7 linked regions of the Callithrix jacchus genome follow. The protein of the gene in region 1 purifies or fractionates together with the protein of each later gene. This does not show direct contact. Links are inferred from orthologs where the notes say so. Each region holds a gene or a part of one and is shown on either strand. Other genes may lie near its edges.

Region 1 (3,500 bases):
ACCAATGACTGAGAAAGGGGAAAATGAGGAGTTGTTGTTCAATATGTACAGTTTCAGTTTTGCAAGATAAAAAGGTTCTGGAGATTGTTTCTATAGCAATGTGAATCTACTTAACTGCACATTTAAAAATGATTAAGATGGTTAAATTTTATGTTATGTATTGCATTTTCAGCCAAAACGTTTATATGTATCTCTTCATTTATTTTATTTTTTTGAGACAGTCTTGCTCTGTTGCCCAGTCTGGAATACAGCGGTGCAATCTTGCAGCCTTGAACTCTGGGCTCAAGAGATCCCCACCTCAGCTTCCCAAATAGCTGGGATTATAGGCACGTGCCAGAGCACCCGGCTATATGTTGCTATAATTATTTCATTTTTCCTTTTTTTTTCCCCATTATAAGCCCTGTAAACACAAGAGCTCACCAAACAGGTTAAAAACTCAGTTGTTCCTCTCCACAGAAATCTTTATTTTTTAGAGACAGGATCTTATTACATTGCCCAGGCTAGTCTCAAACTCCTGGCCCTCTTGCCTTGGTGGCCCAATGTGCTGGGATTATGGATGTGAGCCCTGGCACTCAGCCTCCACGAAATCTTTAATAAAAGGCAGAAAATTCATGCAATTTTAAAAGAAAACAAAGTATATAGGATATACCATAATTTGTTTGCTTCTTTTTTTAAGAGATGGTATGTGACTTTGTTATCCAGGCTGGCCTGAATAACTGGCCTCAAGCAATCCTCCTGCCTCAGCCTCTGAAGTAACTGGGACTACAAATATGAATCATCACACCCTATAATTAAAAAAACCCAACAACATTCCACACTTTGGACTGCAAAAGGAAAAACCTAAGCTAAGAAATACTTTATTTCCAAAAGCATGATGAGGAATGGCAAATACTCCATGGCATATCTCACACAATACAAACTTGACTAAACAGGAAACAAAATACTTTTAAGTAGGTGGTACTTTCTAAATCATAAACTTAAGAAAACAAAACAAAAAACTTTCATTTAACTCTTTCATTCCTTACTATCTGAATCTACCTCTTTGTCAAAAAAACTTACCTCTTTATCAAAGTTTGCTTTGGTGAACTCCAATGAGTTCAGGAGTGCATTAGTAGCAGCTAGCTTCACATTATTACTAGGCTCTTCTTTCCTCATCCCCTGGATTATGGCAGTCAAAATCTCATTGGATTTATCTTGTAGCTGCTCTGGGTCCTGTAACAAGCAGAGAAGTACAATGAATATACAGTTGGCCCTCTGCAGCCATTTGTGGACTCAAGCAACTATGGATTGAAAATATTCAGAGGAAAAAAAAATGGACAGTTACATTTGTACTGCATCAAAAGGTGTGCATTCACCTTTATTTTATTGTCATTATTTCCTTAATACAGTATACCAACTATTAATATAGCATTTACATTAAATTAGGTGTTGTAACTATTCTAGAGCTGATTTAAAGTATATGGGAGGATGTCCATAGGTTATATGCAAATATTACACTATTTTATGTAACAGATTTGAACATCTGAGGATTTTGGTACCTGAGGGTCTTGGAATCAATCCCCTCCAGAAGACTGTCATAAGGAGCTCAAGCAGTCTTTTTCTGTTCTTAAGAGAGTGTCTCACTATTTTGCCCAGTCTGGAATGCAGTGACTATTCACAGGCACTATCACAGTGCACTGTGCCCTCAAATTCCTGGGTTCAAACAATCCTCCCACCTCAGCTTCCCAAGTAGCTGGGACCACAGGTATATGCTACTGTGCCTGGCTTAATCGGCAGTACTTTTAACTGTAAAATTCACTCAAGAAAGTATCATGACTTGGTGGTCTTTCCCCACCCATTTCCATTTGGGAATAGCACTGCAAACCACCTGCAAAGTATCCCATGGTATTGGCAGTTCAAAACTGAACAAAAACAAGTCAAACTCATCAACTTAATCTTTGACTTCTTAGCATAATGACTGTGGGTATAAGGTAATACTAGCTTTCTCCCCCTCTGTGCAAATGAAGATGGCAGCCTGGTGGCTGCCAGGCCATCTGTACACTCAAGTAAAGCTTCAGGACATTTAAGGACCAAGGATCAATACCTGGGCACATCTAGGGAGTCTAAGTCCACGTCAAATGCTGTGTGCTCCTTTGCTTCATAAAGTCTATACATATATATAAATAGACACCACGGGTGGTGGTGTTCCTCATCAGGAACAACAGTGCTAGGAGGGCTGCGTCTGTGTCTCCAGTGGCTAAACCAACTACATCAAGAGTTGACAAAACTTTCTGTAAAGCAGTAAATGAAAATGCACCATGACATTCATGGTACATGCAAGATCTTAAGAAAAAGGATTGGGTTAGGGATGCTCCAAATGAAAATCTCCTCGTTTTGTATGTCTAGAATCTAAGCTTCTTCAAACATTGACTTCCATTTTGAGTTTGTAGTCCTCAGGTTTCTTTACTTTAGGGTATGATTAGCAATGTGAAGAAAGAGGCCTAAGGGAAATAAATCAGTCTTACTTTCAAAACATTGTGCAGTTTCAATTGGCTTTCTTCGTTGTTCAATAAGGTAGTACACTAATACCATTCATGTCACAGCTAGAGGCAATCACAGGTATATAAACCAGGTAAATTAGGCAAGCACTTACTATATCTTGGCAAATATAACCGATAGCTTCCAATGTTGACTCCTTCATATGCTCTGTGCTGCTGGGGTTTGTGACATTGGCCACCAGCTGAGGAATGAGTTCTGGCCACTGGTTTACTGGGATCTCTGCACAAGCAATACCAGCCACACACTGTGAGGCAGAACTAGGCCGGTAAGTTTCTGTGCCCAATGTCTGCAAAACCTGCACCAAAAGAAGACAAAAGATACATATTTCTAACACTCTATTTGACCACATTTTGCCCACCACCATATTCAGTGTCTCTGATTTTTTTTTTCCCTTAAGACGGTCTCACTCTGCTGCCCAGACTGGAGAGCAGTGGCATGATCACAGCTCACTGCAGCCTCAACCTCTGTTGCACAATCTACCCTCCAGCCTTAGCCTCGTGAGTAGCTGGGACTACAGGGGTGGGCATGCCAACACACTCAGTTATTTTTTGTAGAGACAGGGCATCACCATATTGCCCAGGCTCTTTAGAAAAAAAAAGGAAAGGAAAAAACAAGGTCTCATTGTGTTGTCCAGGGTGAAGTGCAGTGGCACAATGATACTGCAGCCTCACCCTCCCAGGCCTTCCAAGAGTAGCTTAGGCTACAGGCACACACCACCATACCGTACCCAGCCAACATTTTTTGATATTAAGTAGGGATAGGGGTCTCCCTATGTTGCTCAGGCTGGTCTCAAATCCCTGGCCTCCCAAAGTGCTAGGATTACAGGTGTGAGCCACTGCACACAGGCAGTGTCTTAGAATTCTTCTCTGTGATATCAAGAAGTATAAAAGGCTGTCAGAGAAAAAATCAGCCTCAGTAGCAACATTAGCACAATCAACACTGCCCCAGAATCTAGAAACAAA
Region 2 (4,083 bases), on another chromosome or scaffold:
GCCAAGTTGAGTCAAGATAAGAAGTATCAAAAGTAGGAAAGTTCATGACTAACAAGGAAATGGGCCAGGTATGGTGGCACGTGCCTATAATCCCACCTACTTGGGAGGCTGAGGGGAGAGGATGGCTTGAGCCTGGTAGATTGAGGCTGCAGTGGGCCCTGATTATGCCACTGAAGCCTGGGCAACAGAACGAGACCTTATCTCTGGGGGTGGGGGGGGAGGAGGATCAAATTCTCATTTTAAGGTTTACAGTCATATATCTAAAATTAGCTCAGTCAACAAAGTTAGGTATTTTTCTCCAGCTAGAGTTAGCTGCAGACATATAAGCAAAGATTAAGCACATAGCTGGGTTTAATCAGGCTTCGGTTTTGCCAGGTGAGTAGAGGGAGGTGCAAGGAAGTGGAAATAGTGCCAGTATTTGTAATTTAAGCTCACAAGAAAGGAAGTGAGGACATGATTGAGAAAAGGTCCAGTGGCCACACAAACATTAATAACTGGTTTCTTCAATTTTCTTTACCATTAAGAGAAGTCTCTCAAAAGAAAGAGCTAATATTCTCTCCTATAAATTTATTAGTAGTAGTAGTAGTATTTTTAGACGGAGTTTTGCTCTTATCGCCCAGGCTGGAGTGCAATGGTGAGATCTCCCATGACTGCATCATCCGCCTCCCTGGTTTAAGCAATTCTCCTGTCTCAGCCTCTTGAGTAGCTGGGATTACAGGTGCTGGCCACCACGCCCAGCTAATTTTTGTATTTTTAGTAGAGACAGGGTTTCACCATGTTGGCCAGGCTGATCTTGAACTTCTGACCTCAGGTGATCCACCTGCCTTGGCCTCCCAAATGCTGGCATTATAAGCAGAAGACACCATGCCCAGTCACAAAATTATTAAAAATATCATACTAGTAAAATTTATTTAAATTGTGTTGTTTCATTTTCATGAAATCTTGATAATTTCTCAGAGAATTTTATTAATATTTTTGCTATGTACTAGATTTCAAAAGGCAATTGACTTAATGAGCTCTTGGGATGTACCAACAGGAAGTAATTTAAAACATATTATGGAAAATTTCAAACCTACAAAACTGGAGAGAATAGTACAATCCCATGTACCTATCACCAGTTTCAGTAATTATTAACATTATGCTATTCTTCACCTAGTTTCTCCCTTTTTCCTCGAGTATTTTACAGCAAATTTTGCAGTTATCATGACATTTTACCTATAAATACTTGATATGGGCCAGGTGTGGTGGCTCATGCCTGTAATCTCAGCACTTTGGGAGGCCGTGGCTGGAGGATCACTTGAGCTCAGGAGTTCAAGACCAACCTCGGCAAAATGGTGAAACCCTATCTCTACTAAAAATACAGACACACACACACACACACACACACACACACACACAATTAGCCAGGCAGATAAAGGAGAGAGAAGGGGATCTGAGGCCAAAGGGTCAAAATAAGCAATTGCACAAAGATGGATAAAAGTGCCAAGTGTTCAGGGATACAGCCTTGGATAAAAGACTCCAGCCAGGCAGCAAAAAGGCCTAAGGAATTTATAGGGGAGCCATTAGCCACTCTTGCTCAGAAATATCCCCAAGGACAACCCTTTGGTCATTCAGCCCCAACAGGCACCTAGGCTCTAATTATTTTATTTAAACCATTTAAAAACGTTTGTGATGACTGATTTAGGCATTTATTCAGTGTCAGTATCATAGCCTGCAGGACAAAACTCCAGAGTATACAGCAGTATTAAGTGGAAAGTCTCAACTATTAAGAAAGTATATAAAACTGCAATCCAACATTGAATGCCCAAATCTTCTTCTTCTTTTTTTTGAGAAATAGAGTCTTGCTCTGTCCCTGAGGCTGGAGTGCAGTTGCATGATCCCGGCTAAACGTCCGCTCCAGCGTTCGACGCCTGGTTCATTTTTTAATGACTAGACTGGTCTCCAACTCTTGACCTCAGGTGATCCGCCTGCCTCGGCCTCCTAAAGTGCTGGGATTACAGGTGCGAGCCACCGCGCCCGGCCAATTCTCCAAAACATCTTGCAGCCTTGGAGTCAAAGACCTTACTGGTTTTGAACGAGACCATCGCCACAGTAGTCATCAATAAGTACATGATTACACTAGATCAGCGCTGAGTTATAAAAATTCACCCATGGAGGTGGTCCTCTAAAAGTCGTTTTTTGTTTTTTTTTCCCTGACAGGTCCACCAACAAAGCATCAAGAAATGATCGGCAATATTACAAATCACTGAAGTCTAACTGTTGGGGAGTTTTCTAGCAGCTAAGCCAATTACGTATTTAACTGTCTAACGATTAACAACAGGGCTTTCTGGGCCTGCGTTTCGTCATCAATGCCCTGAGAGGTATAATTTCAAAAACAAAACAAAACAACAAACCAGCAAAAACACCAAGAGCAGCCAGCCTCAAAATGAGGTGAAAACTACAGTTCTTTTTCCGTTTCGCTGAGTTCTAACTGGGACCACCGTGAACTACATCTACAGCTCGAGGGGCAGGGACAGCCGCCTCGGCCCCGGGCTTCCCGCTCTATCCCTTCGCACCACATCTCCCCAAGGCCGCTATTCCCGCGGATCCCGCCCAGGGGCCTGCACCGCCAGCACCATACCCTCAGGTTGGCCCGGAGACCCAGACTCTTGGCTAAGTTCTGCAGGTCGCTGTACTTGAGGGAGTCCAGCTCCTCTAGGGAGGGGACGACCATCGCGATTCGAAATTCCGGCGATACTCAGAAGACGGATCACACAACTCCGGTAGAACAGTTGAAATCCCTGGCTCCACTTCCAGCTTTGACCAAACAGAAATTTACATACAGTTTAAAAAATGAAGAATGCCGCGCTTCCACTGGTTGAAAATGCCCCAAAGGCGGGATTTCTAACCCTGACCAATAGAAAGGCTGATTTCCCGTCCCATCAGACGCGCGCTTTTCCCACATCTCAGGAATGCGCGGGTGCCTGAAGTGCCTGCAAGGCGTGTGCAGGTAACCAGCGCAGAGCAGACCCCGCTGCCCACGATGTCCAATGAGGACGCAGGAGCTGTGCTTGGGGCGTGGCCTAGCGTGTATTCGAAACGGAGGCGCCGGCTGCAGGAAGATGGCGGCTCAGCCCCGGCGGCGTTTTTCGCCGCGTGCAAGGCCACCCCAGGTTGACTTTTGCGATGGCACTGAGAGGACGATTGACGAAGCTTCTTTTACGACCTCCATGGAGTGGGATACTCACGTGGTGAACGGGTCCTCGCCGCTCGGCCCCGCGGGGCTGGAGGCTGAGGAGCTGGCCACCGGCCAGCAGCTACCGTCTTGGCTGCAGCCTGAGCGGTGCGCTGTGTTCCAGTGCGCACAGTGCCACGCGGTGCTCGCCGATTCGGTGCATCTCGCCTGGGACCTGTCGCGATCCCTCGGGGCCGTGGTCTTCTCCAGTGAGTGCAATGCGGCATTCGGGAAAGGTAGAGACGAGCCCGAGAGGCTGTTCCGCTTTCTCCATCGGTGGAGGAGAACCACCGGGGGAAGAAAACGGGATGAAAATTTGAGGCAATAACTTCGTGACCTGAGGATGGGGCAGGGAGCCGGGGAGTCTCCTGATGTTTATGGCGAGGATGAGTCTGTCTATAGGAGAGATTTTCCTTTTTTTTTTTAAGACAAGAGTCTCGCTCTGTCGCCAGGCTGGAGTGCAGTGGCGTGATCTCGGCTCACTGCAACTTATGCCTCCCAAGTTCAAGCGATTCTCCTGCCCCAGCCTCCTGAATAGCTGGGATTACAGGCACCTGCCACCAGGTCCGGCTAATTATTGTATTTTTAGTAGAGCTGGGGTTTCACCATGTTGGCCAGGGTGGTCTCGAACTCCTGACCTCGTGATCCGCCTGCCTCAGGCCTCCCAAAGTGCTGGGATTACAGGCATGAGCCACCGCGCCTGCCTGATATTTTTCCGTTTCAAGGCCCGGAGAGGTTGGGTTCTGACCCATGTTTGTCTTTTTAGGAGTTACAAATAACATCGTTTTGGAAGCGCCCTTCCTAGTTGGCATTGAAGGTTCACTCAAAGGCAGGTACGTATTGAAAATTACATATTGGTTTCGAGTCTC
Region 3 (4,268 bases), on another chromosome or scaffold:
CAAATTACGTATCTGATTACGGTTTAACATCCAGAATAAAGAATTTCTACAATTGAACAAAAAGACAACCCAATTTAAAAATGGGTAAACAATTTGAATAGACATTTCTCTAAAAGCATATATAAATGGCCAATATGCATATGAGAAGATGTTCAACATCATTAGTCCTTAGAGAAATACAAATCAAGGTTGGGCACGGTGGCTTATGCTTGTACTCCCAGCACTTTGGGAGGTCGAGGCTGGTGAATCACTTGAGGTCAGGAGTTTGAGACCAGTCTGGCCAACATGGTGAAACCCCGTCTCTACTAAAATACAAAAGTTAGCTGGGTGTGGCGGTGACCGGCACCTGTAATCCCAGCCACTTGGGAAACTGAGGCAAGAGAATCACTTGAACTCAGGAGGTAGAGTTACAATGACTCAACCTGAGAAAGCTGATTGAAAAACATAAATAAAAAAGTTTTAGGCCAGGCACAGTGGCTCACGCCTATAATCCCAACACTTCAGGAGCCCGAGTCAGACTGATTACCTGAGGTCGGGAATTTGAGACCAGCCTGACCAACATAGAGAAACCCCCCCACTACTAAAAATACAAAATTAGCCGGGTATGGTGGTGCACACCTGTAATCCCAGCTACTCAGGCGGCTGAGGCACTTGAACCTGGGAGGCGGAGGTTGAGGTGAGCTGAGATCACGCCATTGCACCCCAGCCTGGACAACAAGAGCAAAACTCCATCTTTAAAAAAAAAAGTTTTAAAAACCACAATGAGATACTAATCCACACCTACTAGGATGGAATAAAAATAATAAAAGCACACATTGGCTAGAATCTAGAACCTGGTAGATTGCCGGTAAGAATGGAAAATGGTACAGCCACTGTGGAAAACAGAATAGTGGTTTCTAAAAAAATTAAACGTAACTACTATATAATCCAGCAATTGTACTCTTATACTATTCCTCCCTTATTCACAGTTTTGCTTTGCAAAGTGTCAGTTACCCATAGACAATTGTGGTCTGAAAATATTAAATGGAAATTTCCAGATATAAACAATTCATAAGTTTTAAATTTCATATTATTCCAAGTAGCATAATGAAATCTCACACTAACCCGCTCTATTCCAACTGGGACATGAATCATCTCTTTGTACAGTGTATCCACACTATATACACTGCCAGCTCGTAGCAGATATTGCAGGGTTTGTGTTCAAGTAATCCTTATTTTACTTAACAAAGTGTAAGAGTGATGATGCTGGCATACTGTTATAACTGTTCTCTTATTATTGTTTTTAATCTCTTGTTGGGCCTAATTTATAAATTAAACCTTGTCATAGGTATGTATGTATAGGAAATAACATAGTATATAGGGTTTGGTACCATCTGCCATTGCAGCTATCTACAGGGGATCTTGAAATATATTCCCTCTGGATAAGAAAAGGACTACTGTATATGTATACCATGAATATCATTCAGCCATAAAAAGCAATGAAGGTCTAATACATGCTACAATATGATCAAACCTTGAAATTAACATGCTAAGTGAAATAAGCAAAACACAAAAGGACAAATCTTATTTCACTTACTTGATGTCCCTAGAGTCAAACTCAGAGACAGAAAGTAGCTTAGAGGTTACCAGGTGCTGAGAGGAAAGGAAAATAGGGAGGTATTTCTTAGTGGGTAAAGAATTTCTGGGCCGGGCGCGGTGGCTCAAGCCTGTAATCCCAGCACTTTGGGAGGCCGAGGCGGGTGGATCATGAGAGATAGAGACCATCCTGATCAACATGGTGAAACCCCGTCTCTACTAAAATTACAAAAAATTAGCTGGGCATGGTGGCGCGTGCCTGTAATCCCAGCTACTCAGGAGGCTAAGGCAGGAGAATTGCCTGAACCCAGGAGGCAGAGGTTGTGGTGAGCTGAGATCGTGCCATTGCACTCCAGCCTGGGTAACAAGAGCGAAACTCCGTCTCAAAAAAAAAAAAAAAAAAAATTTCTGTTAGAGGCAGTAAAATGTTTGGAAATAGATATTGGTGATGATGGTCACATAACAGTGTAATTGTAATTAATGCCACTGAATTGTACACTCAAATGAAAAATTTTGTTACATACATTTTACCACGAAGTTTTTTTTTTTTTTTGAGACAGAGTCTTGCTCTGTCACCTAGACTAGAGTGCAGTGGTGCGACCTCAGCTCACTGTACCCTCCGCCTCCTGGATTCAAGTGATTTTCTTGAGTGAGTTTCTTGTAATCTGAGTAGCTGGGATTACAGGTGCCCACCACCATGCCCAGCTAACTTTTTTATTTTTAGTAGAGACAGGGTTTTTCCATGTTGGCCAGGTTGGAATAATCTTTTTCTTTTTTTTTTTAAACTGGCATTGTAGCCTGGGCTCAAGCCTATATTGCCAGAATTTTGGGAGGCCAAAGTGGGCAGACTGCTTGAGCCCAGGAGTTCCAGAGCAGCCTGAGCAATATGGTGAAACCCCATCTCCACAAAAAATACAAAAATTATCTTGGCATGGTGGTACACACCTGCAGTCCCAGCTAGTTGGGAGGCTGAGGCAGGAGGATTACTTGAGCCCAGGAGGTTGAGGCTATAAGTGAGCTGTGTCTGTGCCACTGCACTCCCTTTGAGGCCTGATTATCCCTGTGAGACTAACATGGTAGAGGACAGATTTCTAAAGGCAGCACTGTGAACTGCTGTCCCCTATTTACCTGACACGTGGCTTTTCATGACTGAGCCTAGGCTGTCCTGGACGCTAGCCTCTCCTTCAAGCACAGCTGACAGTGAAGCTGGAAGGAGCACCATGCTGAGCTTCTTTAGTCACCATGGTGACAAGAAACTAACACAAATATTTGCTTATGACCTCACTGGGGAAGCAGACAAGGGAGGTTAGATTGGAAGGAGGAACATCTGCAAAAGCACATCTGGAATCTCAGGGAAACAGCAGGCCAGTGGCTTTTTCCATTATGTACTCCCTTACTTGCTGTCGATGAATTTTTTAAGATCTACAATACGAATAAATCTTTTCTAGCATCTGACTGTCCTAGACTGTCTTTGGGTTCTGTCTCTGTCTCTCTCTCTCTCTCTTTTTGAGAGTCTCACTGTGTTGCCCAGGCTGGAGTGCAGTGGCATGATCTCGGCTCACCACAACCTTCGCCTCCTGGGTTCAAGTGATTCTCCGCCTCAGCCTCCCAAGTAGCTGGGATTACAGACGCCTGACAATATGCCCAGCTAATTTTTGTATTTTTAGTAGAGTCAGGATTTCACCATGTTGGTCAGGCTGGTCTCGAACTCCCAACCTCAGGTGATCCACCCACCTCAGCCTCCCAAAATGTTGGGATTACAGGCATGAGCCACTGCATCCAGTTTTCTGTGGGTTTTCTTAGACAAGGAACTCTCTCAAAGTGAATAGGTCTCTGAAGTTACACCTTCCATTTCTAGGGAATAAATGTCTAATGTTGCCATGCACTTTCTAAGCTTTCAAAACCAAAAAAACTAGCAATGATAATACAAAATAGGTATGGGCCCTAAAATGCCTGAATCATCGTCTGCTCCAAATTCATACGATGAAGTCCTAAACCCTGATACCTCAAAATGTGACTGAATTTGGAAATAGAGTCCCTAAAGAGGTAATTAAGGTAAATAAAGTTACTGGGGTAGGCCCTAATCCATAACTGGTATCCTTAAAACAAGAGAGGGAGAACACCATGTGAACATGAAGACAGCTATCTAGAAGCCAATAAATAACAAAGGTCTAAGAAACCAACTCTTCTGTAAACTTTTTTTTTTTTTGAGACAGAGTCTTGCTCTGTCACCAGGCTGGAGTGCAGTGGTGTGACCTTGGCTCACTACAACCTCTGCCTCCTGGGTTCAAGCTAGTCTCCTGCCTCATCCTCCCAAGTAGCTGGGATTATAGGCGCCCGCCACCATGCCCAGCTAATTTTTGCATTTTTAGTAGAGATGGGGTTTCACCATGTTGGTCAGGATAGTCTCGATCTTCTGACATCATGATAGGCTTGCCCTGGCCTCCCAAAGTGCTGGGATTACAGCTATGAGCCACTGTGCCTGGTCCCTTCTGACAACTTGATCTCAGACTTCTAGCCACTACAACTGTGAGAAAATACTTTTCTGTTGTTTAAACCACCCAATCTGTGGTTCTTTGTTATAGTGGCCCTAGCAAACTAATATAGGCTGTAATTATCTAAAGAAGGCATTGACTCCTGCTAGTATCTAATACCAAATTCAAGTTAACTAAAGCCTTGTCTTTAGACCCGGG
Region 4 (3,500 bases), on another chromosome or scaffold:
CCCGAGACTGTTCTCTGCAGGGGAGGGGCGCAGAGTAGTGAACGTAGGTCGTATAGGTCTGAGGTTAAGGTTATGTTTCTTATTTGTTATTACCAAAAGTTATATGAAATTTGGTATTTGTTATTACCAAAAGTTATATGAAATTATAGAGCATTAACCTGTAAAAAGATAATGCAGTTTATTTAATGTTCTTGCTTTGTTGTTTACCTTAAAATTTTTTTCTTCTTCTTGCTTGCTTTTTTTTTTTTTTAAGAGATGATCTTGTTCTGTTGCCCAGGCTGGGGTGCATTGGTGTGATAACATAATGACTCACTGCAGCCTCAGCCTTCCAGGGCTCAAGTGATCCTTCCACCTCAGCCTCCTGGGTAGCTGGGATTACAGGCACTTGCCACCATGCCCAGCTAATTTTTGTGTTTTTTGTAGAGACAGCGTTTTGCCATATTGCCCAGGCTGGACTCAGATTCCTGGGCTCAAGCAGTGTGCCTACCTTGACCTGGGATACAGATGTGAGCCACCTCGCCCAGCCTTATTCCAGTATTGATCATTGTCTGCATCAGTGCTAGTGATGTTGCTGTTGGGAATGGTGTTGCATTGGCTACTTTAATTACCTATGTCTGAACATATTCCTATGTTTTTTTCTTTTTTTTTTTTTGAGACGGAGTTTTGTTCTTGTCTCCCAGGCTGGAGTGCAATGGTGCAATCTCGACTCACTGCAACCTCCACCTCCTAGATTCAAGCAATTCTCCTGCCTCAGTCTCCCAAGTCTCTGGGATTACAGGCACTTGCCTCCATGCCCAGCTAATTTTTGTGTTTTTTGTAGAGACGAGGTTTTGCCATGTTGGCTAGACCAGTCTCAAATTTCTGACCTCAGGTGATCTACCCAGCTCAGCCTCCCAAAGAGCTGGAATTACAGGCATGAGCTGCCACACCCAGCCATGTTCATGCATTTCTGTAGGATGAAGTCCTAGAAGTAGACAACACTGTTCTGTTTATTCAGTCTCTCCTAGCCAAGGAGTTGGAACAGGTGGCATCTAGGGAACAGATGGATTTGACAGTTTCATTGGTTTAGGGATTGTTTCATTTGATACTTTATTATCCCCTCCAAATCTCTTTCAGACTTTGCAGGAAAAAAAAGTCATTCCTTGTCCTCCATTTTATGAGGCAGATCATCCTGTCAGAGGTAACAACTGCTTTTCTTATTGGGCTGACCTCTAACGATGTGTTACGTGTATTGCAGAAATTCATAATCATGTGATGTACCTGCCCAGTGAGGTGTTGCTGCTTGCTTCCTGAATAATGTCACTATTTCAAACAGCTAATTAAGTCAGTGTAAATTATGGCCCTCTGGTGACATCTGTGTTTCATGGTAAATGACATGAAATGGATCCTGACTTTTTGTTACAGTTCTTCATAATTTGCCCTGATTATAATCAAGCAGAAAAATTACCATTTGAGGATGAGTTTGGGCTTCTTGGGTCTTTGTACCTGTGAATTATATTAATCAATGAAATCTGGGCCTTTGTTAAAGCTATAGTATTTTGATTTTTTTATTCGTCATATATGTTATAGTTTGCAGTAGCTATTCCAAACGTGAGATGCTTTTGGCTGTATCTGGTTGCTGTGATTTTTATGACCTGCTGATTAGGGTGTGTCTTTCAGTTCTGGATGTGCTGTGGATTGGTACATATGTCTTCACAATAGTGTATGCTGCTGCAGATGGGACCCTGGAAACATCTCCAGATGTGGTTATGGCTCTACTACCGGTATGCATGTGAAAGAAACATCATTGTTTAAGAATTAGAGAAGTCTTCCAATAAAGCTGGAGGCTTTGATTTCAAGATTGGGTGTGTGTGTGTGTGTGTGTGTGTGTGTGTGTGTGTGTGTGTTGAGACAGGATCTCACTCTGTTGCCCAGGCTGGAGTACAGTGACGCAGTCTTGCCTCACTAAAGCCTGAACCTCCTAGACTCAAGTGATCATCCCACCTCTCAACTTTCTGAGTAGCCGGTGCTACAGGTACACACCACTATGCCCAGCTAATTTTTGTAATTTTTTTTTTTGTAGAGATGGGGTTTTTCCATGTTGCCCAGGCTGGTCTTGAACTCCTGAGCTGAAGTGATCCACCCACCTAGGCCTCCCAAAGTACTGGGATTACAGGTGTGCATCACCACACCTAACCTGATTTCAGGTTCTTTTACTTACTGGCAGTGATTATGCAACTTCAGGTATAAGGTTTCCATGCTGTACCGTGGGCCTGCAGTCCAAAATTGGAGTGTTCACTTAAAGTGTTCTACTGTTTTGTTATAAGGTTAAAAAGGTAAATGATTTTGCTTAAGCTATAAACTCTGAGTCTTGGTTAGCTTGATAAAGAAATTTTAGAAAGCAAGACAGTATCTTGATTTTTAAAATTATTTCATTTGCCCTCAAATATTTAATGCCAACAGTGTGCTAGGGGCTGCTTTAAAGTTGACTGTATAGCAGTGATCAAGGTTATGGCCTTGCTTTTATGGTCTACATTTCTTTGTTGTTGTTTTTAATTTTTATTTATTTTTGTCTCACTCTGTTGCCCAGGCTGGAGTGTAGTGGTATGATCAGAGCTCATTATAGCCTCAAATTCTTGGGCTTAAGCCATCTTCCTGCCTCAGCCTCCTGAGTAGCTGGGACCACAGGCATGCACCACCACATCCAGCTATTTTTAAATTTTTGGTGGAGATGGCGTCTTGCTTTATTGCCGAGCCTGGTCTTGAACTCCTGGCTTCAAGCAGTTCTCCTGTCTCAACCTCTCAAAGTGCTGGGATTACAGGCCTGAGCCACCACACCTGGCTGGTCTTACATTCTAATGTGATAGTTAATAATTAAGTGTGAGATCAAGGACTGATCAGAGTGATGGAGACAATAAAGCCGTGTTAGGATAGATGATGACTAGTGTGTGCTTAAGATTGGGTGGTCAGGGGAGGACAATTTGATATTTGAAAAGGATGTCTTGTTTTTAACTCTTTTGGGTTTTAAGGTTGAATTTTTAAAATACGTTTACCTAGATGCCTTATTTTAAGTTATAATTAGAGGTTTTTTTTATTCTGGGCGATAATATTAACACTAGTATTTATTAACTGCTATTTATGTTTTATGTACTGGGCTTGAAGTTTTATATATATCATTTCATTTCACACTTAAAAATAGCCTCTGAAGTAGGCTTAGTAGGTCTAGTATACACATGAGAACAGTAAGTATCAGGAAGGTTAAAAAATCTGCTTGTCTCATGGGCAGAAAGTGGAGGAACAGAGTTTAAATGCAGTTCGGTTGAGGCCAATGTTTGTATTCCTTGTTCTAAATGCTGCCTTTATACCATGTCCTCATATCTATACTTAGACTTTGAGTGAATATTCTTATAAAACTTTAAATGATTTATCATTTGATATTCTTGTACTATAGGATCTGAGAAAAATTGCACATGAGAATTTTTTTCTTGGTTTATTTATTGTAGAAAAAAGAAGAAAAGCAC
Region 5 (4,156 bases), on another chromosome or scaffold:
TCTATCTTTTTTTTTTTTGAGATAGTGCTTCACTCTGTTGCCCAGGCTGGTGTTCAGTAGTACGATCTCAGCTCACTGCAACCTCTGCCTCAGAGGTTCAAACGATTCTCCTGCCTCAGCCTCCCTAGTACTGGGACTACAGGTACGTGCCACCATGCCAGGCTGTTTTTGTTTTGTTTTTGCTTTTTTGAAACGGAGTCTCACTCTGTCACTAGGCTGGAATGCAGCGGGGAGATCTCGGCTCACTGCAACCTCTGCCTCCCAGGTTCAAGCGATTTTCCTGTCTCAGCCTCCCGCGTAGCTAGGACTACAGGTGCACACCACCACACCTGGCTAATCTTTGTATTTTTAGTAGAGACAAGATTTCACCATGTTGGCCAGAATGGTCTCTCGACCTTGTGATCTGCCCACCTCAGACTCCCAAAGTGCTGGGATTACAGGTGTGAGCCACCGAGCCTGGCCTCTCTGGCTGTGTTTGCTTAACCAGGCAGTGAGTGTCTGGGTTGGGAATAAGGAGTTGGCTTTTGCTGTCATGCTTCCCCGCCCAGCCCCACCCAACACAGCTTCCATCTTCAAGGAGCTTATACTCTGGGAAAAGAGTGATATAGTCACCGATAAGTTGGCTACAGAATCACCTTCCACCACAGATACTCCAGAATGTCCACAGCTGACCTTGAGGTGAGCGGACTCATCCTGGTTTTACAGCTAAGGGGAAGAGGAGGCTCAGGGAAGATGAGACCCTGGTGGGTCACCTGGAACGAAACCCCAGTCTCATGATCACGCCCCACCAGGGCCAGAGCCGCCCTCCTCCAGCTCACTTTCCTTATTTGCTGAAGAAAGCAGGTAGGCACGCCAGTCTAGACAGTCTACCCAGAGCCTTGTGCTCCTGCCCTGACCTCACCACAGCCTCATTTCAATAAAAGAAGACAGAGCCCTCCCAGGCCACTGCAGCTGTGCCCTCTGTCCCCCATGCCAGGGGATAGAACTTGCCTGCCAGACTCAGGCTGAAAAATCTCTTTGTGTGAAAGGTCCCCAGGAGAGGAGGAGAGGGCTGATGTGTCAACAACATACATTTGCTGAGGTGCTGTTATGCCAGGCACAGAGCTGGCATATTTTACACTAGGAGTTTCTCACCAGGGATCCTCGTTGTATACAAGCTGTGCCTGGGCCTATGTGTTTATTTTTCCTGGGGGAAGGGAGCCACAACTTCCACTAGCCGTTGGAATCACTACTTTATGAAAGTTACCACTTGGGAGACTGAGGCAGAATTGCTTGAACCCAGGAAGCGGAGGCTGCAGTGACCGAGAGCACAACACTGAACTCCAGCCTGGGCAATAGAGGGAGATTCTGTATCAGAAAAAAACAATTAAAGAATATTAGTCATCCTCACCACATGCGCCCCCCTCATCACTTTACAGAAAAGAAAACCAATGCTCAGGGGGTCTGGGTGGATTGCCCAGGGGCACCTGATGAGAAAGCTGTAAAGGTGAACAACAGAACAGGATTCCTCCTCTGGGAATGTCTTTGAAACAGGAGCCTTGTGAACTCCTAATTCATCTGTCCAGGTTTCACTCTGATGCGCTTTTTGGGGGGAACCTTCCCTGCCTCCTCCACCCCCTCCCTGTTCCTTAGCCTTGCACACAAGACCCTTCGTGACCTAGCTCCTGCTGTATCATCTTGCTACTCTCCTCCTCCGGTCACCTCAAGACCTATGGTAACTGACCACAATAACTATTCCTTCATGCCTTTGCACGTGTTGTCCCTCTGCCTGAATCACCCTAATCCCACTATCCTCAAGCTGCCTGAAAAACCTATTCCTTCAAAACCCCGTTCAAGAGTCACTTCACCTGGAAAGACCTGAGCCTCCTTGGCAGGGTGGGCTTTCCCGTGAGGATTATCATAACATCCCACATACTCAACTTCTGCTAGGGCACACAAGTCACACGTGGATGGAGGAGTTCAGTCAATATCTGATGAATGAATGACTCCCTAGTAGCGTCCGTCGCCCGGGCTCAAGGGCATAGTTCGCTGATCACACTGGACCTTAACTTTGGACCCACATGAGGTCTCTCCAAGGAACCCCAGAGCTCGGTAAGGAGGGCGACGGGAGCCCGCCCTTGTCACTACTGTCCCCCAGCCCCGCAAGAACAGCACGGAATAGATGGCCAACAAATAATTTGCTTGACAGACTGAGCTGCTGCAGAGTTCGAGACACACGGCTCCCAAGGGTCCACAGCGGTGCCCGCCGACGCTGGGGCTTCTCTCGCCGCAGCACCACCCAACCTCTTCCGGGCAGGGCGCCCTCCCCGCTTTGCAAACCGCCTTCTTCAAGCGCATGCCAGACAAAACCACCCTCCTCGCGGAAGAGACGCAGCCCCTGCCCGAGCGGCCGCGCGCACCCGGACCACCGCGCTCGCGCCGTTTGAATCTCCCGCCTGCGCGGGCGCCGCGGCGCGGGCGTGAGAGGCGCGGCGGCGGAGGGGCAGTGCGGCCCTGGCTCCGCGAGGCGGAGCCCAGCGGCCGTCCGAGCGTCCCGCGGGGCCAAGGAATCGTGAGCCCGCACCGCGCCTTCCAGCAGCCGGGCTTCACGTGGGGCCGGCGCCGCGCGACAGGGCCTAGAGCGGGCAGCGACCTAGTCCCGCGTGGACCAGCCCGTGCTTCGCCTGCGGCCGCCCCACGCGCCACCCTCCGCCCGGACCCTCCGCGGGTCCGTAGCGAGACCTACCTCGTTGCACGTCGGCCCCAAGGAACTCCAGCGCTCCCCGCCCGGCCCGAACTGCCCCAGAGCATGCGCTCTGCAGGCCTCTGGCCCCGACCCGGGCGAGAAAGGAAAACAAAGAGCCCGGCGGCCCCTGGCGGCCATCCCGCGATCTGCATGTGGCGCGCTCCCGGGCTCGGGGAGCTCTTGGGCAGGCTGGCTCCCCTGGCCCGGGTTCCAGTGGGTGTGTATTTTGGAAACCCCAAATCGGGACAAGCGGGGTAACAACCCAAAAAACTTCTTGAATTCGTGTCTGTTTAGGAAAATCTGGTGCGGTAGGGTCTGTAAGAAGAAAAAAGATACTCATCTTCCCTACCCTCAAGAGGGTGTCCATGGAGAAGGATGAGAAATCTATCAACAACCACACAGCGCTATGACACGGATACCCACAGGGGCATGTGACTCAGCCTGGGGCTTAAAAACGGCTTTCCAAGTTAAGTCTAGGAGGGCTTGTTCCCTCTATCCTGAGGTCGTGGGGAAATATGGGGATTTGGGCACGGGAATGGCATGACCAGATTTTTTTCCCCGTGGGTATGTGCCCATGTCTTAACAAGGTTTGAGGGAGGCACATCTCACATGTATATGAACACCCAGTCTTTTTTTTTTTTTGAGACGGAGTCTTCCTGTGTCGCCCAGGCTGGAGCAGTGGCAGCGATTTTGGCTCACTGCAACCTCCACCTCCCAGGTCCAAGCGATTCTCCTGTCTCAGCCTCCCGAGTAGCTGGGACTACAGGTGCGCTCCACCATGCCCAGCCAATTTTTGTATTTTTATTAGAGACGGGGTTTCGCCTTGTTGGCCAGGCTGAATTTCTTCTATTCAGAGCCTGCCACAAAGCACTCCCCATGTTGTCAGGGTATCTTACCTCTCCAAGTGTGTCTCTGCCTCCATCATGGACTCCTTTTTTGGATGATGTACAGTGAAATCTCTCCAACTTTTAACCCTGGGATCTTTAATCTCTCTCTGCTGTCTTCCTCCAAGATCTTACGCATTCATGTAGCTTCATGTAATAATAATAAGTGGATTATTATTACTATTCCCTATTTTGTAAGACCCTTTATTCTGGGTTTTCTTTTTTTTTTTTTTTTGAGACAGTCTTGCTCTGTCGCCCAGGCTGGAGTGCAATCACATGCTCTCGGCTCACCACAACCTCCACCTCCTGGGTTCAAGCAATTCTCATGGCTTAGCCTCCCAAGTAGCTGGGATTACAGATGAGTGCCACCATGCCTGACTAATTTTTGTATTTTTAAGTAGAGAAAGGGTGGGCCGGGCGCGGTGGCTCAAGCCTGTAATCCCAGCACTTTGGGAGGCCGAGGCGGGTGGATCACGAGGTCAAGAGATGGAGACCATTCTGGTCAACATGGTGAAACCCCGTCTCTACTAAAAATACAAAAAATTAG
Region 6 (4,188 bases), on another chromosome or scaffold:
CGAGGCCAGCTTGGCCAACATAGTAAAACCCCATCTCTACTAAAAATACAAAAATTAGCCAGGCGTGGTGGTGGGTGGCTGTGGTCCCAGCTACTCAGGAGGCTGAGGCAAGAGAATCGCTTGAATCTGGGAGGTGGAGGTTGCAGTGAGCCAAGATTGCGCCACTGCACTCTAGCCCTAGGCGACAGAGTGAGACTCGTCTAAAACAACAACAACAAAACAGTGCCTGGAACAGAGGAAGGGCTTAATGAATTATTTAAAAAACAAGTTTAGTTAGAAGCAAAGGCTATGAACTACCATCTTCCGTCCAAAACTTGAAAGCTGTAGCACTGCAGCATGGAAGAATAACCTGGATTACAAATCAGACTTTTAAAAACATTCTACCAAATCCCTATTTTATTTCAAAGCATGACACGTCAGACAATACATTTTCCTTTTATGCTAGAAGTGGAAAAAAAAATATAACACTCTGTAACCTATTCAGAAACAAGGCTGTCACCTGGACAGTCTTAATCTAGCTCTTATTATAAAAAATTTAAGGGAGGCCGAAGGATTACTGAAAGCCAGGAGTTGGAAACTTACCTGGTCTCTACAAAAATTCAGAGACATAGATTAGATGAATAAATACAAATAAAAACTTAGCCGGGCAAGGTGGAGCACACATGTGGTCCCAGCTACTTGGAAGACTGACGCAGGAGAAGCACCTGAGCCCAGGAGGTTGAGGCTACAGCGAGCCACTACTACACTCTGGCCTGGTGACCGGAATCTCAAACAACCAATAAAAGGAAATTTTAAAAACGTTTGTGCTTGTGGGTAAAACACACACACACACACCAAGTTTGACATGATTGCTAGGGATGAAGCAATGTGGTAGTAGACTAGGTAAACTGGACAAAACATTACATGTGCCTGATATAGTTACGTGGTCTCTGGCATCGATGCCGCTCTGCCCTTGAAGCTGAACTTGTCAACATCAGCTTAAAACGAAAACACAGATTTGGCTATATTTAATAGTGAGGTGCCTTGTTGGAGGAAGAGAACAAGGGGACCAACCAAGGAGACAGAAATACCAAATCTCCAAACTGTTTCTTAATGGAATTGAGCAAAGGAGTGATCGATGACCCGGGAACGCAGTAAGAAAGCGAAGCCAGGGCCGGGCGCGGTGGCTCACGCCTGTAATCGCAGCACTTTGGGAGGCCGAGGCGGGTGGATCACGAGGTCAAGAGATCGAGACCATCCTGGTCAACATGGTGAAACCCCGTCTCTACTAAAAATACAAAAATTACGTCCGGGCGCAGTGGCTCACGCCGTAATCCCAGCACTTTGGGAGGCCGAGGCGGGTGGATCACGAGGTCAAGAGATCGAGACCATCCTGGTCAACATGGTGAAACCCCGTCTCTACTAAAAATACAAAAATTACGTCCGGGCGCAGTGGCTCACGCCGTAATCCCAGCACTTTGGGAGGCCGAGGCGGGTGGATCACGAGGTCAAGAGATCGAGACCATCCTGGTCAACATGGTGAAACCCCGTCTCTACTAAAAATACAAAAATTACGTCCGGGCGCAGTGGCTCACGCCGTAATCCCAGCACTTTGGGAGGCCGAGGCGGGTGGATCACGAGGTCAAGAGATCGAGACCATCCTGGTCAACATGGTGAAACCCCATCTCTACTAAAAATACAAAAAATTAGCTGGGCATGGTGGCGCGTGCCTGTAATCCCAGCTACTCAGGAGGCTGAGGCAGGAGAATTGCCTGAGCCCAGGAGGCGGAGGTTGCGGTGAGCCGAGATCGCGCCATTGCACTCCAGCCTGGGTAACGAGAGCGAAACTCCGTCTCAAAAAACAAAAAAGAAAGCGAAGGCAGGCCAGAGAGGTAATGGGGCCAGGAGAAGAGAGACGAGGGGGGGCCAGGGAGAGAGAAGAATCGAGAGGAATCGCAAGGAAGGAAACGGAGACGACCAAGCCGAGACCGCCCCCGCCAGCCCCTTACCTCCGCCGGGGCCCAAGGGCGAGCCTCACTCCAGTCCAGCGCCTCAGCCCGGGGAGGCCCGAGCCCCGCCGCTGTCATCCCACCCCACCCTCCGCCCGCCCGCGCGCCCGACCCACGGCTCCCTCCCTAGGGTTCCCGCCCCTAGCCCTGCACCCCGCTCCCCAGGGTCCGGTTCTCCAGCCCCGCATGCCCCTCCCAGGGTCCGGTCCCCCGGCCCCGCACCCTCCTACCTAGGATCCCGGCCCTGAACCCACGTCCCACTCCACGAGGTCCCGTTCCCCGGCTCCTCTCTCTCCCCAGGGTCCCACCCCCGCCTTTGAACCCCCATCCGCATCCCCAGGGTCCGGTTCCCCAGTCCTGGACCGGCACTCCCCTCCCGAGAGTCCCCAGCCCCGCACTCGCACTCCCCACCCAGGCCCGAGCCCGAGCCCGCTCCCGCCCTCCCGGCCCTGGGCTCTCAGCACCAGGCTCCCGCCCTCAGCCCGTTTCCCTCTGGCGCCAGCAGCCGCATCTTACCTGCCAAGCGGCGGCCGCAGCACTAGCTTGGTCTTGGGCGCGGCGGCGCTGGGTGTTGAAGCGGCTGGTGGTGGCCCGGCTGTGCGCGCTCGGCCGCTTCCGGTGCTGCACTGCGGCTCTCAGAGGACTCGGTGCTCCGCAAGCCCTGAGACACAAACACCATATCCCCGGGGGAGGCCCCTCACGCTGTGTTCGGCAGGGAGGCGACAGCGCCGGCTCAGCCGGAGACCGCTGGGGGAACGCCGCGGAACACGCTCCGGGCGGCCATTTTGTAACTCGAATCTACCCCCAAAAGCAATTCGAAAAAAAAGGGAGGAAAGAAACGCCCGCGTTCAGCTATTGCGCAAGCGCGCCGGAGACACAGCCGCAGCACCGCCTTCCGCCCGCCGGGCCCCTCACGCGGCGCATGCGCCCAGTTCCCTGGAAACCCGCGTGGGGCGGAGCGCGCCCATCTCGCGCAAGCGCGCATGTGCCGACCTTAATAGCGGCGTCGGCTGTCAACGCAGCGGCTTGAGCTGTCCGCTCGCTCGAGCGGGGCTGGCTGTGCGTCTTCTAGGCTGTTCCTGCGCTAGTCGCCGCTGAGGGGCTGGCGATGCGCGAGGAGCTCCGGCTAGGAAGGTCAGTCGGTGGAACGTGTCCGAAGCCTGCGGTGTCCGCGTGTGGGAGCTTTAGGGCTGAGGACAGGCCGCCCGCGACCCTCGGGAGTCGCTTCCCAAGTCAGGCGGCCCCGCCCAGGTGTCCGTGCTGGCGGTTCGCAGCCGGGGGGGCCCCGAGGGGCTGCGTCGCGGCGCTGGGAGGGGCCGTGTGGACCGCCCGTTAAAGGACCCCCTCGTCGTTCAGCAGACGACTGACACGTGTTTTTGCGTCGGGCGCCTTGTGTCTTTTCAGACACTGAGATCCCTTCGTGTTCAGCCGTCAGCTGGGGGAACGAGCCCCGTGGCTTCCGCGCTGAGGGAGTCCACAGGCTCGGCAGCCTCTGAGCGCCTTTCTCCCCAGCAGCTTGCGATCCCTCATCCCAGGCCCTGTCATTCCCTCCTGCCTCAGCCTCCCGAGCAGCTGGGACTACAGGCAGGCGCCATCACGCCCGGCTACTTTTTGTATTTTCGGTAGAGACGAGGTTTCACCAGGTTGGCCAGGCTGGTCTCGAACTCCTGACCTCAGGTGATCCACCAGCCTCGGGCTCCCAAAGTGCTGGGATTAGAGACGTGAGCCACTGCGCCCAGCAAATGCTTTCGTTCTTAAGATATTGTTAGGTTTTAGGCCCGGCGCGGTGGCTCAAGCCTGTAATCCCAGCACTTTGGGAGGCCGAGGCGGGTGGATCACGAGGTCAAGAGATCGAGACCATCCTGGTCAACATGGTGAAACCCCGTCTCTACTAAAAATTACAAAAAATTAGCTGGGCATGGTGGCGCGTGCATGTAATCCCAGCTACTCGGGAGGCTGAGGCAGGAGAATTGCCTGAACCCAGGAGGCGGAGGTTGCGGTGAGCCGAGATCGCGCCATTGCACTCCATCCTGGGTAACAAGAGCGAAACTCCATCTCAAAAAAAAAAAAAAAAAAAAAAGATATTGTTAGGTTTTAAAGGGGAGGCAAGGGTTAGAGAATGACACAGGTCAGCGTGGTGGCGCACTCCTGTAATCCCAGCACTGTGGGAGGCCGAGGCTGGTGGATTACCTGAGGTCAG
Region 7 (4,270 bases), on another chromosome or scaffold:
TTACATCTTTCAAACCAAAGTGTCTATTTCGTTCATATTCCTTATGTCTGCTTTCTTTCTGAGACAGTGATTTCCTGTGAGCAATTTTGGTTCTAATCATTTCAGTACTTAAATCCTTCCTATGTCGACTGGCAAAATGTGAAGACATCCTGTCAAGGAAAAGCACAAAACCCAACTTACATGAATTTTCATTATTTAAAAAATTAAGATTACAGTTCATCTCCTGTCCCACTTCAGGGCCTTCTGAAATAAAATATGAAAATGCACAATGAAATAAGTATGTAACACTGATAAGTGGGAAGGAGATTATCAGAGCATAGGAAGCTACAACCGATTTGGGAGTTTTAAATAGGAACTTGCTTGACCGATGAAGAGAAAGCCAAGAAGCTATAGTACAGAATAAAAGAGGCTCTGGGCTTACCATAGAGAACACCGCAAAAAGAAAAGCATGAACTATAGATGAATAGGGTAAGTAAGTGAAGAACTGTGTATAGAATGGTTTCCTTACCCATGATGATGAATGCAGGTAGTCTAACATTTCTTCAAAAGCCAAAAAAACAAAAACCCCACACCAGGTGCCTCCTAGTCATGTAGGAACAATCAACAGGCAACTGGACACAGATAGTTGGATAGAGAGGCACAGGGAAAGGTATGTGGAAATGAACAAGAAGCTTCCATGCTCCCTCAGGTAGCACTGCTGGTTAGGAACCTGCATGTGTTCACCTATCTAGAAGCTCTCAAAACCCAGGTTTTGTTTTTTGTTTTTTTTAAAATGTCAGCTTCATTACATACACATGAGTGATTAAATCATTGGCCATTGGTGATCAAATCAACCTTCAGCTCCTCTCCCCCCACCTCGCAGAGGTTGTGAGGTGGGGCTGAAAGTCCCAACTCTCTACTCCTGGCTTGGTCTGTCTAGTGACCAGCCCCAATCCTGAAGCTACTTAGAGGCCTCCAGCCATCTGTCAATCATTAGCATACAAAAAGATATCCAAGGATTTTAGGCGTTTTCCAGAAAACAGAACAAGACCAAATATATAGTTCACAATAACCGTATCACTTTGCTCCATTATTTTCATCCATACAAGAACAAGAAATCATATAGTTTAGGCCCGCCTGGTGGCTTAGGCCTGTAATCCTACCACTATGGGAGGCAGAGGCGGGAGGACTGCTTGAGCCCAGGAGTTCAAGACCAGCCTGGGCAACATAGCATAACCCCGTCTCTATAAATTTAAAAAAAGAAAAGCCATACATACACACATGCACACTCACAAGATCATATAGTTTACTTGGCACAACCTTTTTCTAGGAAAGATCTATATTCAAGCAAAACAAAAGAGGACAATAAAGACGATGTCAGTGGATCCAACTGGGGAGAACAAAGAAAAGTGGAGTTTGAGGGGGTCACCAGTGTAGCTGGTACAGAAAACCACCAAGCCAAACTGGAGAAAGGGTACTGATTCTCAGAAGTCTTGGCAGTTAAAAAAAAAGGGGGGGGGGGGGATGGGGGAAGGTTCTGTGATAGACACACTATGGTATAATCTTCAACAAGAACTAAATCTACTAGAAAACTCCAGATAATGGAAAAATTGGCACAAGAAATGCAATAAATTGTTACACGATTCTAAGCAATCAACAAAGTATAAAAAATGAGAATCTGGGCTGGGTGTGGTGGCTCACGCCTGTAATCCTAGCGCTTTGGGAGGCAGAGGCGGGCAGATCACCTGAGGTTGGGAGTTTGAGACCAGCCTGACCAACATGGAGAAACCTCATCTCTACTAAAAACACAAAATTAGCCAGGCACGGTGGTGGGTGCCTGTAATACGAGCTACTTGGGAGGCTGAGGTAGGAGAATCACTTGAATCCGGGAGGCAGAGGTTGCGGTGGGCCGAGATTGTGCCATTGCACTCCAGCCTGGGCAACAAGAGCAAAACTCCACCTCAAAAAAAAAAAAAAAGAGACTCTGTCTGACCTGCATGTCAACTGACTGTACTTTTTATCAAGAACTCTCTTCCACTATTTATCTCCGGCAGTATTAATTTGGTAAATGTTGAAGAACAACTAAGGCTTATGTATTAGTTATTTTAAATAGGGGATAGCACTATCCACAGCAACAGAGAGAAAGAGCGAGAACATTAAAGGTATAATTATCAGAATAACCCTGAAAGGCGGTTACTATTATCTCTCATGAACAGATGGGGTAAATTAACTGCTCACTTTAGCATAGTTAAAAGCTGGTGGAGCTGGGATCCCAAGCCAGGCAGCCTGGCTCTTGACAAACACCTAAATTTTGTTTGGCTGAGTGGCGTTTCCTCCGGCTTGCAAGTCTAGACTGCGTTAATTTTGCATGACTTGAGGTTCTCAATCGGGCGTTTTTAGTCGTCATGGTATCTGGGAAGAGCTACGGGAATTTATTGTCGGAGCTAGGGATGCTAAACGTCCCTCGACGTAAAGAATAATTTCACCCCAAATGCCAATTACGCCCCGGTGGTGAAACGCTGACTAGTAGATAGGTCACGGCAAACAGACTGACTCTTCTGGAGACTCGCTTTATCAGCTTCCGAAAGGGCAAGGTAACACAGTCCTAGAGGAGCCTGCCTCTGACTGGCTCCCGCTCGCAGCCCCCGGTCCTTAGACCCTTCTAGACCCACCTACCTGAGGCACCTTCTAGCGTGAAACCTCAAACAAAAAGTAAGGATCTGGACGACCACCGCCAACTCCGAAGCAGGAATCCTCACAACCCGAGCCTCCACGAAATTCAAACTTGCTGCACCAAGCCTCTGATTGGAGGGACTTTAACAAACACTTCCGGGGAAGATCCCGCCCCTTCCACTCGACGAGGCTTGCGATTGGTTTGCTCCGTGCGACATTTGAATTGATTGAAAGGTGAAGGGATGGTTCAAAAGATGGGTGCGGAAGGAAAAAAGGCGGGACGACGATGCGGTATGAGAAGGGGTGGAGCGGTGGGGGCGCACCTGTCAGGTGAAGTGCGAGAGTGGGCGGCAGAGCCCGAGAGGTGATGCTGGGACCCTGGCAAAACTGGGCTGCGGGAATCTCCCCCAAAGCTCGCAATGCTTCTTCTTTCTTTCTTTTTCTTTTTTTGAGACAAGGCCTCACTCTGTCGCCAGGCTGGAATGCAGGGAGCCATGCAGTGGGCCACTGCTCACTGCAGCCTGGACCTCCCAGGTTCAAACCATTATCCCACCTTAGGCTCCTGGATAGCTGGGACTATAGGTGCGCACCACCACGGCGGGCTAACTTTTAAAAACTTTTGTAGAGACAGGGCCCCACTGCGTTGCCCACGCTGGATTCAGGGGCTTTTTAATATTCTTGTTTAGTCACAGAATCCAGCAGACCTTCCTGGAATGTTTACTAGACATTTTAAACAAAAGGCTTACCCCGGTTATCTCCTTACATCATTTAGTGTTGCTTTTCAACGTCACCAGCACCCCTCCCCCTTTATTTCTTTTCTAGTCCATTTTTTTGTTGAGGTGAAGTTTTTGTACAGTGAAAATAATAGTATTTTCCCCCAATCGACAATTTGATGAGCTTTGGTAAATGTAAACACCTGTGTAACTACCACCCAATCAGGACATACAGCATTTCCACCACTCAGAAGAGTGGCCTGTGTCTTTCCAATCCTTCTCCCACCGCATCAGCAACCACTCCTCTATCTCTAATGCCATAAAAATGAAAGTGATAGGTACTCTTTTGGGTCTGCATGAACCAGAAGTTAGTAGTTTTTGTTACTGAGAGGCATTCCATTGAGGACTTTATACATTCACCAGTGGACAGCTTTGTATTGCTTTCAATTTTTGGCTAATATGAGCAAAGTTGCTGTAAACATTCTTGTACAAGTCCTTGTGGGCATATTTTATTTCTCTTGAGGAAATACTGGAGTGGAATTTCTGGGTCATTCTGGGTATGTTTAACGTAAAAAAAAATTTTTTTTTGAAGCAGGGTCTCTCTGTCCCCTAGGCTAGAGTACAAAGGTATAATCATAGCTCATTGCAGCCTTGGCCTCTTGAATAGCTGAATGGGTGAGCGCCATCACCCTTGGTTATGGGTGTGTCTAACTTTATAAGGAATCACCAAGCAGTTTTCCAAAGTGGTTGTACCATTTTGCTATCCCCACTAGCCATGTATAAAAGTTCCACTTGTTTCACATGCTTTCCAGCATGTTCGGTTGTCAGTGTTTAATGGTCATCTTTCTGGTTGGGAACAGTGGCTCATGCCTGTAATCCCAGCACTTTGGGAGGCTGAGGTGGGC

What was found.
Region 2: the proteins of KPNB1 (region 1) and NUSAP1 purify together in Homo sapiens (affinity purification with mass spectrometry; 3 studies listed by BioGRID and IntAct, counting the BioPlex papers as one, with this or other methods). This does not show direct contact. The link is inferred for Callithrix jacchus from reciprocal best matches to the Homo sapiens genes KPNB1 and NUSAP1.
Region 3: the proteins of KPNB1 (region 1) and KPNA6 purify together in Homo sapiens (affinity purification with mass spectrometry; 4 studies listed by BioGRID and IntAct, with this or other methods). This does not show direct contact. The link is inferred for Callithrix jacchus from reciprocal best matches to the Homo sapiens genes KPNB1 and KPNA6.
Region 4: the proteins of KPNB1 (region 1) and NUP214 purify together in Homo sapiens (affinity purification with mass spectrometry; 3 studies listed by BioGRID and IntAct, with this or other methods). This does not show direct contact. The link is inferred for Callithrix jacchus from reciprocal best matches to the Homo sapiens genes KPNB1 and NUP214.
Region 5: the proteins of KPNB1 (region 1) and RCC1 purify together in Homo sapiens (affinity purification with mass spectrometry; 3 studies listed by BioGRID and IntAct, counting the BioPlex papers as one, with this or other methods). This does not show direct contact. The link is inferred for Callithrix jacchus from reciprocal best matches to the Homo sapiens genes KPNB1 and RCC1.
Region 6: the proteins of KPNB1 (region 1) and NUP50 purify together in Homo sapiens (affinity purification with mass spectrometry; 4 studies listed by BioGRID and IntAct, counting the BioPlex papers as one, with this or other methods). This does not show direct contact. The link is inferred for Callithrix jacchus from reciprocal best matches to the Homo sapiens genes KPNB1 and NUP50.
Region 7: the proteins of KPNB1 (region 1) and DLGAP5 purify together in Homo sapiens (affinity purification with mass spectrometry; 4 studies listed by BioGRID and IntAct, with this or other methods). This does not show direct contact. The link is inferred for Callithrix jacchus from reciprocal best matches to the Homo sapiens genes KPNB1 and DLGAP5.

What each region holds. Positions count from the first base shown.
Region 1 is NC_133506.1:118,641,086-118,644,585, forward strand, and holds part of KPNB1 (importin subunit beta-1), read right to left. Parts: intron 2,834-3,500; coding exon 2,633-2,833; intron 1,213-2,632; coding exon 1,060-1,212; intron 1-1,059.
Region 2 is NC_133509.1:45,265,340-45,269,422, forward strand, and holds the start of NUSAP1 (nucleolar and spindle-associated protein 1), read right to left. Parts: upstream 2,801-4,083; 5' UTR 2,714-2,800; coding exon 2,621-2,713; intron 1-2,620. Other genes in the region: OIP5 (protein Mis18-beta), read left to right, coding at 3,102-3,450, 3,981-4,047. UniProt on the Homo sapiens protein: Microtubule-associated protein with the capacity to bundle and stabilize microtubules. May associate with chromosomes and promote the organization of mitotic spindle microtubules around them.
Region 3 is NC_133508.1:68,747,175-68,751,442, reverse strand, and holds the start of KPNA6 (importin subunit alpha-7), read right to left. Parts: upstream 2,801-4,268; 5' UTR 2,798-2,800; coding exon 2,704-2,797; intron 1-2,703. UniProt on the Homo sapiens protein: Functions in nuclear protein import as an adapter protein for nuclear receptor KPNB1. Binds specifically and directly to substrates containing either a simple or bipartite NLS motif.
Region 4 is NC_133502.1:179,784,267-179,787,766, forward strand, and holds part of NUP214 (nuclear pore complex protein Nup214), read left to right. Parts: intron 1-1,116; coding exon 1,117-1,180; intron 1,181-1,659; coding exon 1,660-1,763; intron 1,764-3,482; coding exon 3,483-3,500. UniProt on the Homo sapiens protein: Part of the nuclear pore complex. Has a critical role in nucleocytoplasmic transport.
Region 5 is NC_133508.1:65,179,976-65,184,131, reverse strand, and holds the start of RCC1 (regulator of chromosome condensation), read right to left. Parts: upstream 2,801-4,156; 5' UTR 2,726-2,800; intron 2,351-2,725; exon of another isoform or gene 1,848-2,350; intron 1,348-1,847; exon of another isoform or gene 1,135-1,347; intron 1-1,134. UniProt on the Homo sapiens protein: Guanine-nucleotide releasing factor that promotes the exchange of Ran-bound GDP by GTP, and thereby plays an important role in RAN-mediated functions in nuclear import and mitosis.
Region 6 is NC_133502.1:215,202,934-215,207,121, reverse strand, and holds the start of NUP50 (nuclear pore complex protein Nup50), read right to left. Parts: upstream 2,801-4,188; 5' UTR 2,505-2,800; intron 1-2,504. UniProt on the Homo sapiens protein: Component of the nuclear pore complex that has a direct role in nuclear protein import. Actively displaces NLSs from importin-alpha, and facilitates disassembly of the importin-alpha:beta-cargo complex and importin recycling.
Region 7 is NC_133509.1:89,761,185-89,765,454, forward strand, and holds the start of DLGAP5 (disks large-associated protein 5), read right to left. Parts: upstream 2,801-4,270; 5' UTR 2,656-2,800; intron 150-2,655; 5' UTR 149-149; coding exon 1-148. UniProt on the Homo sapiens protein: Potential cell cycle regulator that may play a role in carcinogenesis of cancer cells. Mitotic phosphoprotein regulated by the ubiquitin-proteasome pathway.